Rattus norvegicus: one gene and its partner. The protein of the gene in region 1 interacts with the protein of each later gene in a pairwise test. Links are inferred from orthologs where the notes say so. Each region holds a gene or a part of one and is shown on either strand. Other genes may lie near its edges.

Region 1 (4,695 bases):
AGGTTCAATCTGCATCACTGATAAATAATTGATACATGGGTGAATACATATGTACACACATGTACATACATACATACATGCATGCATACATACATTGATACGTAGTTAGATGGTAGATGGATGGACAGACAGAAAGACAGGACACAGATCCAGCCTTGTCACTTGCATGAATGGTAACTGAATGGAGAATGCAGTAACCTTGACGTTTCTGTAAATTTAATCTGGTTTCTAGTTTAGAAGGCTGTAGATTAGGACAAAGAAAATACAGAGGTATACCAAAGTCAGAGAAGTTCAGTAGTGATTGCATACAGTAATACACTGTGGTCACTGAAGATCATAATGCAAGAGTGATTACTAAGGAAGGGCAAATAGAAAAACATTAGCCTATATGTTATTATTACTCTGATGAAAACTGTTGTATAAGACTGGGAACAAATGCACAAGGCATTATAACAACTTCTCATGGGCTTCAAGAACTAACCAGTGTCAGCCATGTGCCAAGGCTCTCACAAAGATTATATGCACTCAGTATCCACATGCCTAACAAGATCACAGCATAAAATGCTCTGAGTAATGCCCTCCTTGTTGTTCCTCCCAGGGTTCTCATTGCTATGCTTTGCTTCACTTCTCTCTCAGGCTGGATGATAGATGCTGATAGCCGCCCAAAGTTCCGAGAGTTGATTCTCGAATTCTCCAAAATGGCCAGAGACCCACAGCGCTACCTTGTTATCCAGGTACCAGGCCAAAGTTGGTTCTTCCACTGTCAAAATCTTTCCAATCGCTCCAGATGCCACCGTGCTAGAGCAACACAGCCCGTGAGGTGTTTTCTTGATAATAAATCCTTTTGTGCATTAGAGCAGCCTCTACTAGATACAATGACTGGATTACATGGGGGATACGTGATGGCTTGCACCCAATTCCAAGTCACCATTGGATCTGAGCAGTCCAACCTGGACCCAGTGCAAACGTCACCTCATATTTTGGCTAATTAGAGCCCTGGCTTTGCTAAACAGAGAAGCAAGACTTCACTGTCAACCTACATGGCTTCCCTCCCCAACTCCTTATCACACCCGTGCCACCTTATACAGCCAATCGGCCTGGCTCTAAATCTGGAAGAACAAGCTCAAGACCGTTTGTCTTTGTGGATTTAAAGCTTCGGTAAAATAATATATGAAAAATACACCTCAGAGCATTGAGTAGTGGATGATAAATGTCCCCATGGCTTCTTTTTCTCCTCTCTCTTAACCCGTTCTTCATGTGGATATATATATCACATGGCTTATACTATAAGTGGCAGACCTTGTAGACAGTTGTTGATAAAGGCCCTTACTCCTATAGCCAGGAAGCAGAGCGAGCTCCATAGAACCCTTTCTAATTCTATTAAAATCTCTGCGTCAGGGGGATGAAAGGATGCATTTGCCGAGCCCTACAGACTCCAACTTTTACCGAGCCCTGATGGAGGAGGAGGACATGGAAGACGTAGTTGATGCTGATGAATACCTCATCCCACAGCAAGGCTTCTTCAACAGCCCATCCACGTCACGGACTCCACTCTTGAGCTCTCTGGTATGCTCTCTCTCTCTCTCTCTCTCTCTCTCTCTCTCTCTCTCATTCTCTCTCCCCCCCCACCCCCCATCTCTCTCCTCTCTCTCTCTCTCCTGATTTAAATTGACTTATTTTCCATTTTCTATATTTTACTAAGAGAAAAATAAAAGAGGTAAAATATAACCAAACAGAACCTAGAATCATGATCAACAGCTAAGGGTTTTAGTTATTTAATTGCCTAGTTTTTCTAAAGCTCTAATTTAAGGCAAAAAAAAAAATCTTCTCTTCAAGAAAACAGTAAACACATTGAAATATTTTTGCTCTATGAGATCCGCCTCCTGCATCCGCTGGAAATGGATGAGAAGGTACCAGTGTACCATGACCAACATTGCTTTCTTTCTTTTTTTTTTCCAGAGTGCAAATAGCAACAGTTCCGCTGTGGCTTGCATTAATAGAAATGGGGTACGTATGGACATGTTATAAAACAGAATCGAATAAGCTACACAGGGAAAGTGCCCATCTTAGCCCGCATTGCACTGGCTTTTCTTCCCGTGCATTCTTTCCCATGCCATGGCTTCTTTGACTGGAGTCCTGAGGCCAACAGTAAGCGATCGCTTATCACAGGATCACTCAAAGTGTGGTTCATTGACAGACAGCGTCAGCATCTCCCAGCAGCTGTTAGAAATGCAGATAATTAGGTCTGCACCAGATCTACCAGGAGGATCTGTGGGGGAGCTGACCATGATGAAGTAGAGTGCTTCAGTTGCTGCCTGCATTGTTCTATCAGGAGCCACTATACGTCACTGATTCAATTTTAACTAACATGAAATAAGATGTAAAATTCAATTCCTCACACATTTCAAGTGTTCAGTTACCCACAAGTGGCATGTGACTACCTTGTAATGGAACACAGATTGGGAGGCATCACCATCCCTACAGAAAGTTCTGGTAGGTGTACTGATCAGGACTTTGCTTGTCTGTAACGCACTGGAGTCACTTTGGAGCGTGTCAGAAATCTCCTTTCCCTCACTCCATTGAATCCCCTTTTCTTGTGTGTTTGTTTTTGCGGCAGAATCTGTGTGGCTCAGCTGGCCTTGAACTCATGCTCCCTGTGCCTCAGTCTCTAGAGGTCTAAAGTCACAAGTGTGTACCACCATACACAGCTAGAATCTGCATTCTAATGAGGCACGGGTGAAGTTATTTTATAATAAAGGCTGAGTGATCCCCACTGGAGTAACCTGGCCTCTCCTTCCCACAGAGCTGCCGTGTCAAAGAAGACGCCTTCTTGCAACGGTATAGCTCCGATCCCACCAGCGTCCTGACAGAGGACAACATAGATGACACATTCCTTCCCGTGCCTGGTGAGTAGCTTGCTCAGGAAGCAGCCATCAGGCCTTGGTGTCTATTGCCACTTTCTCAGGTACAAGCCAGCTGTGACATCCAGGATACTTGAATGAGGCACACCACATCCTGAGGTGGAGACTGTGGCAAATTTATAGACATGGTGAAGGGAATAAAAAGCCAAAACAGAGAGATCTTACCATGCTGCGAAGCCTGTGACAAGTACAGGTGATAGCTGGGTTTTCTGCAGATCTGTTGGCTTGGAAACAAGTGGCAAAGTGTACATGTATGTATGTATGTATGTATGTATGTATGTATGTATGTATGTATATTGTGTGTGTGCATCTGCATATAAAAGATGGATACATGTGTCTCCTCTCTCTCTCTCTCTCTCTCTCTCTCTCTCTCTCTCTCACACACACACACACACACACACGAAACACATCATCCTTTAAACTTGCAAAAACCACTTATGCCCATTGCTTTGAGAAGTACAGAAAATATCACAGGTTATTTGGTCATCTCCATGCTATTCCCAGAACTCCTTTGCTCTTGGATCTCAGTTGTCTCACTGAGGACACTTGCAGCGCTCACACTGAGCCGTGGAATTCTGCTTCAGGGTCTTCGGGTGAAGCTTTACTAACTCACGCGTGCATTCTTCTTCATTTCAGAATATATAAACCAATCTGTTCCCAAGAGGCCGGCTGGCTCTGTGCAGAACCCAGTCTATCACAATCAGCCCCTGCATCCAGCTCCTGGAAGAGACCTGCATTATCAAAATCCCCATAGCAATGCGGTGAGCAACCCTGAGTATCTCAACACTGCCCAGCCGACCTGCCTCAGTAGTGGGTTTGACAGCTCTGCCCTCTGGATCCAGAAAGGCAGCCACCAAATGAGCCTGGACAACCCTGACTACCAGCAGGACTTCTTTCCCAAAGAAGCCAAGCCGAATGGCATCTTTAAGGGCCCCACAGCTGAAAATGCAGAGTACCTGCGGGTGGCACCGCCAAGCAGTGAGTTTATTGGAGCATGACATTGAAGAGGCATTGTACCAGCTACAAACCGGACTTTCCAGAAGCCCAGGACCAAGCCATGGCAGCACCTCTGCTCCTGACAGCCATGTCCACATTGTGTCAAATGTCAAACCCTCAGACTGGCTTTAAAGCATAACTCTGACGGGCTTTGTCACTGAGCCAAGAAGTGGGCCCCTCCCCTGATGCTCTTTGGGAAGTTGAAGGTATATCTATTGGTCTTCGAACTGTGAAGATTCCACTGAAAGGTATCCATCGAGAACATTGTCCTTTTGGAACAGAAGGTTGCCTCATGGTGAGGTACATAGGGGGAAAAAAAACAGACCTATGGCGCTTGCTGCATAGGGAACTCTGGGATTCTTGTCTTTATTGATTTGATTCATGCACTCTTCCATAAAGGAAGAAGCTTGCCCGTAGCGTGTATTACACAGAGCTGCCTGGAGCCAACTGACCAGACAGTTGGTTCTAGCAGCTCTGCATCAAGACACTTCCATGGCAAGATAACTACATGCACAAGAAGTCCTGGATGTGCTCAGCAGGCCACACTTGTACAGCATTAAACCATGGCAGGTACAATAGGATAAGCCACTTTGTTACTTACTGGGACTGGGAGAAGAATGACTGGGTAGAATTTTCCCTCAGACTTACTTTTTTGTATAAATATGTCCCTGATACTTAACACACGCTAGTTTACCAGTGTTTTCTGACTATTAGACTACCTTTTATGTTTTCTGTTTCATTGTTTTGAGTTTTAATATGCTTTCCCGTTTTCATTTCA
Region 2 (5,387 bases), on another chromosome or scaffold:
GTTATGGCTGGGTGGTCTGTGGGGTTGTGTGTTTTTGGGTTTTTCCTTTTTTTCTTTTTTAACCTTATGTTTTGGGTTGAAACATTTTCAGATGTTGGGGGGCATTCTCATTAAAGGGTTCTTGTGCTTGCCTTCCGGGGTGGCGTCGCGGTCCCCAGCAGGTGAACCACTGCATCCGTGCATCTGTTGGATACCCACTGCACCCTCCTCCCTCAGCCTTTGCTCTTAGGTTGCCCTGCATACTGCCCTTTACTTTGCTAATTTCAATAGTTAAATTGGTTTTACTTGAATGATTCATGTTTAGGGGAGAGAGAAAAAACACCCTTAAATTTTTGTTTCAACTCCTCCTGCAAATAAAAACAATAAATGAAGTGGCAGATGTAAATGGACTGTGTGTGTTGCTTGTGTGAGTGACCCTGGGGTAGTAGGTGGGTCCTTGAGAAGTTCTTCCTTCTCAGGGAAGAAGCACCTCTTGTTCTCAGTGGAGTCTGGAGTCTGCATTCCGTGCTTTTGACACCTCCAAGAGCCAAACCTAACTACCATGCCAGAAGCCAGGACTTTGGCTTCCTTCGTGGTGGGGCAGGGGTCAAGGCTTCAGTCAGCTGGCTCGGCCTTTGTATGTTCACCTAGAAGTTGACTTTCAGGTGAGCCTAGCCCAGCTGGTAAACCGTTTGTGGGTGTACTCTAACCTTCAGACTCTTGCCAGGCCTTAATAAAAGTTGGTTCTTCCTGCCTTTCCCCAAAGAGAATTTGCAGTAGTTGTCAGAAATCCAACTAGACCCCCGAAAGAGTCAAAGCTCAACCAGCTTTGTTTTGAAGTTTGGAATATACCCGCCACAGCTTTTAAGAGACTGGGGCCACTTTCCCAGCAATGGCCCCACCTTGGTATGTACCTCTCCCACCTTCCCCTGCAGCTAAGAACTTGCAAGCCAGAAAAGAGGGTGGGCTAGGAAACGTATAAAAGACGTAGAGTTGGCCCAGGTTGGGAGGCTTGGCTAAAGTAGAACTTAATAGTTCTATTTAATAGTAGAGCTCCTGGGGGAGCTGTTACCCCAGCCCTGGGCTAAGACCCTGGACTCCTCCTCCAAGAATTGGGGCCCAACCTGCTGAGCCAGGCCGCCCACTCCTAGTACCTGGATTCTGACCTATGACTCGAGTCTCCGCCTCATCTACATCCAGTCTACTACCTGGCGGCCTCGCCCGCCCTCCGCGCACCAATACCAAGTCTGACGGTCAGGCTGTGCAGGGCGCCCCAGAAATCATGGGTATGTGTGTGTGGGGTTCGGGGTGGGTTCTTCTGTACCCAACTTTCCGAAGGGCAGCATTCCCCCCAGCCTTTCTTAGCACGCTTCCGCCCGCAGAGGTCCTGGTCCTGGCCAGATACCGTGCGCAGACGGAGGACGAGCTGAGTCTGGCTCCGGGGGACGTGATCCAGCAGGTGTGTGCCGTGCCCGCTCGGGGCTGGCTGCTTGGGGAGCTGCGGGGCCGCCGTGGTCTCTTCCCCAAGCGCCTGGTGCAGGTAAGGCCCGGTGTGGGTAAGGCGGCACAGGGGAGCAGGAGCGGCCTCAGCCTCGGGCCTTGTACTGAGTCCCACCCCCACGTGATTTTCCCAGGAGATTCCCGAGGCCCTGAGGGGCGTCACCGAGTCCAGACCGCGCTTTCCGCGCCGTCGCGGTGAGCCGGGAACTGGGCCGGCGGGTGGGGGCTGACTGCCCGCGTGGAGCGTGACGGCTGTGGGTGGGGCACCCGGGGCTATTTTGCAGCCCTCTGATTGGCTCGAAGTACAATGCTCCGCTCGAGGGCGGGGCCTGAAGCTACTAAAGGGAGTTCTGGGGTTCACCTCCTCCCCAGTGCTGCAGACGGGGCTCCCTGCTCGAGCTGCTTCCCTGCTTATCTGGCCTAGGTCACCCCATCGACTCTCAGAGCCCCCAAAGATGGTGCAAAGTGAATTTCAACTACAGTCCAGAGCAGGCAGACGAGCTGAAGCTTCAAATTGGGGAGATTTTGGAAGTGATAAAGGAGGTGAGGGGGTACTAGGGGACTTGGAGTGATGCTGGAGTTCTTCACACAGAAGAGAGTAACGTAAGGGGAGGCAATGGGAGGAAGACAACTGGGGAGGAGGTAGTCCTTGGGTAGAACCGAGGATGGACACCTCAGTTACTCTTGGGCAGAACCAGATGCTCCCGCATCCTTCCCCCTCCCCAGATTGAGGACGGCTGGTGGCTGGGAAAGAAGAACGGGCAATTGGGAGCCTTCCCATCCAACTTTGTGGAATTGCTGGACAGTGGGCCCCCAAGTGAGACCGTGACCCTGTGATCCCCTGGGACCAGACTCAACAATCTTCAGTGATCTTCCCAGTGACCCTCCTGACCCTGTGCCCCTTTGACCCTCTCCCTTGACCTGGCTAAATTAGCACCTCCCTAACACCATCAATTGCCCCTCCACAGGCCTTGGAAACACAGACATGCCTTCGATCATTCCTACTTCACAGAGGCCTCCTAAGGTAAACTGGGTCATGATGGGCACGGCCAATGAAATCTTAAAATGGCTTGAGACTAGTCTTACTCTCCCTCCCTTTGCCCCTAATAGCTGAGCAACTTGACCTATGACAGCCCTCCAGATTACCTGCGGACAGGTGAGCATCTCGCCAAGGAGGTCCTCCCACGGTACCAGGTCTCGCCCTGCCTTGTGGGAGGTGAACCAGCTAGGTTGTTGGAGGGAGTCACTGGCTGCTGAGGGAAGGGCTACACAGTAGAATGACCTTCTTTTAGTCTCCTGCCCTGAGACCTGCAGGGTCCTGTTTGACTACCAGCCCGAGGCCCCCGATGAGTTGGCGCTGCAGAAGGGCGACCTGGTGAAAGTTCTGAGAAAGGTACGAGAGGATTAGGGGTACAGAAGAGTAGGGGCCCAGGCAAGAACTTGAGTGATGCTCACCTCCCCACTGGCTTGTTTCCCAACCAGACAACCGAGGATAAGGGCTGGTGGGAAGGAGAATGCCAAGGCAGAAGAGGAGTTTTTCCAGACAACTTTGTCATCCCACCGCCCCCAGTGAGTATGGAACCAGGTGTGGGGAGGAGAGAGGAAAGGCTGTTTTTAAAAAATCGGGGGGTTGGGGATTTGGCTCAGTGGTAGAGCGCTTGCCTAGGAAGCGCAAGGCCCTGGGTTCGGTCCCCAGCTCCGGAAAAAAAAAAAAAATCGGGAAAATGGATATGGTGGTACATGTCTTTAATCCCAGCACTCGGGACACAGAGACAAGCGGATCCCTGAGTTTGAGACCAGCCTAGTCTATAGAGCAAGTTCAGGAGAACCAGAGTTACACAGACAAACCCTGTCTCAGAAGTATAGATAGGGAAATGAAAAATCAGGGATCATGGATTTGCTGGATCACTAGAGCAAGGCACATATAACACTCTTAAAAACAAGAGACAAGCTGGGGATATGGCTCAGGGTTAAAGTGCTTGTTCAGACAGCCCCCCAGAACACATAGAAACGGCAGGTGGGCATGGCAGCGCCTCTGTTTCAGGAAGGGAGAGGCAAAACAGACCATACCGGTGAGCTCTGTGTTTGACTGGGAGATTTTACCTTTAAAAATTAGGTAGAGGGCTGGAGAGATGGCTCAGCGGTTAAGAGCACTGACTGCTCTTCCAGAGGTCCTGAGTTCAATTCCCAGCAACCACATGGTGGCTCACAACCATCTGTAAAAGAGATCCGATGCCCTCTTCTGGTGCATCTGAAGACAGCTACAGTGTAGTTATATATAATAAATGAATAAACCTTAAAAAAAAATTAGGTAGAAAGTGTGGCATGGTGGCCTTGAATCCTAGCACTTGGGAGGCAGAGGCAGGTGAATCTCTGAGTTCAAGACCTACAGAGAGTACCAGGACAGCCAGAGCGACACAGAGAAACCATGTCATGAAAATCCAAAAAGAAAAAAAAAAAAAAAAAAGAATTAGAAGAGTGATCAAGAAAGATTTCCTGGGGCTGGAGAGATGGCTCAATGGTTAAGAGCACTGACTGCTCTTCCAAAGGTCCTGAGTTCAATTCCCAGCAACCACATAGTGGCTCACAACCATCTGTAATGGGATCTGATGCTCTTTTCTGATGTGGCTAATATATATATCAAGAAGAAAGAAAAGAAACTCCATTTCTTAAAAGAAAAAAAAAGGGGGGGTTGGGGATTTAGCTCAGCGGTAGAGCGCTTGCCTAGCAAGCGCAAGGCCCTGGGGTTCGGTCCCCAGCTCTGAAAAAAAAGAAAAAAGAAGAAGAAAAGAAAAAGAAAAAAAAAGATTTCCTATTTGAACCTCCTGCTTACACATGAGTGTATGCATTTTACACACACACACACACACACACACACACACACACACACACACACACTAAAACAGGGGTTATGGAATTCCTTGGATCCAGCTGGAGGGTCACCCCTAGATGAGGCTGGACTTAAAACTGCTGGGACTTGTCCTTGTAGTCTAATTTTTTTTTTCTCGTTTAGATCAGGAAGCTGATCCCACGGAAAATTATTTCTCGGGAATCAGGTGGGTGCCTGGGGAGCATGGGGTAGAGGAAGCTGTTCTACAGGCGAGCCATTGTTTCTAGTTGAGCATAAACACTTGTGGTTCTCCCCCTGGTCTGGTACACCATAGGACCTCCCTCCCCTGGGGGAGGGAAGGGTCAAGGCTCTTGCAAGAACTATGTGAATCCTGGGTGAGTCAGATCGTGTTCAAATGCCGTGTGCCTCTTGGGACTGTGATGATCACAGAGCCCCTTGTGCTATGCCTATTAGTATAGGTGGTGTTGAGGATCAAACCCAGAGCTTTGCACAAAGAAGGCAGGTGCTCTACCACTGAGTGGTGCAGTCTGGATCTAAACCTTGAAGTCCCTACAGATAAATTCTGGGTTGGAAGATGGCTAGGTGAGGAAGCTGTTTATGCAGGACCACGGGGGGGGGGTTGTAATTTAGTTTTAGTTTTATGTGCATTGGTGCTTTTGACCAGTGTGTATGTCTGTATAAGGGTGTTGGGTCCCTTGGAACACCGTTTACAGACAGTTGTGAGCTGCCACGTGGGTGCTGGGAATTGAACCCAGATCTTCTGGAAGAGCAGTCAGTGCTCTTAATCACTGAGCCATCCCTCCACTTCCCAGGACCATGTTTACCCACAGCAAGGGCCTTTGTTGGAGCGGGTAGTCTGGGTCCACTAAAGAGGGGTGTCCTCTGGTCCTGTAGCAGCAGAAAAATCTTAACTCGGTCGTCAGCTTTGATTAACCAGGCAGTTGCCATCCTGTATTTCTGGAGAGACTTGGAAAATGATTCTGAGAGAGCCAGAAGCAGACCATTTGGTTACAGAGTGGAACTGAGAGATTTTTCTAGGAATGTTGAGGAAGGGAGG

The links. The genes of interacting proteins can lie anywhere in the genome.
Region 2: the proteins of Egfr (region 1) and Sh3d21 interact in a protein complementation assay, tested with the Homo sapiens proteins (2 studies listed by IntAct). The link is inferred for Rattus norvegicus from reciprocal best matches to the Homo sapiens genes EGFR and SH3D21.

Annotation. Positions count from the first base shown.
Region 1 is NC_086032.1:95,541,723-95,546,417, forward strand, and holds part of Egfr (epidermal growth factor receptor isoform 1 precursor), read left to right. Parts: intron 1-636; coding exon 637-734; intron 735-1,398; coding exon 1,399-1,566; intron 1,567-1,959; coding exon 1,960-2,007; intron 2,008-2,803; coding exon 2,804-2,906; intron 2,907-3,557; coding exon 3,558-3,919; 3' UTR 3,920-4,695. UniProt on the Homo sapiens protein: Receptor tyrosine kinase binding ligands of the EGF family and activating several signaling cascades to convert extracellular cues into appropriate cellular responses.
Region 2 is NC_086023.1:143,724,819-143,730,205, reverse strand, and holds the start of Sh3d21 (SH3 domain-containing protein 21), read left to right. Parts: upstream 1-1,858; 5' UTR 1,859-1,903; coding exon of another isoform or gene 1,904-1,934; coding exon 1,935-2,022; intron 2,023-2,205; coding exon of another isoform or gene 2,206-2,296; intron 2,297-2,447; coding exon 2,448-2,503; intron 2,504-2,589; coding exon 2,590-2,635; intron 2,636-2,771; coding exon 2,772-2,872; intron 2,873-2,961; coding exon 2,962-3,048; intron 3,049-4,492; coding exon 4,493-4,535; intron 4,536-5,387.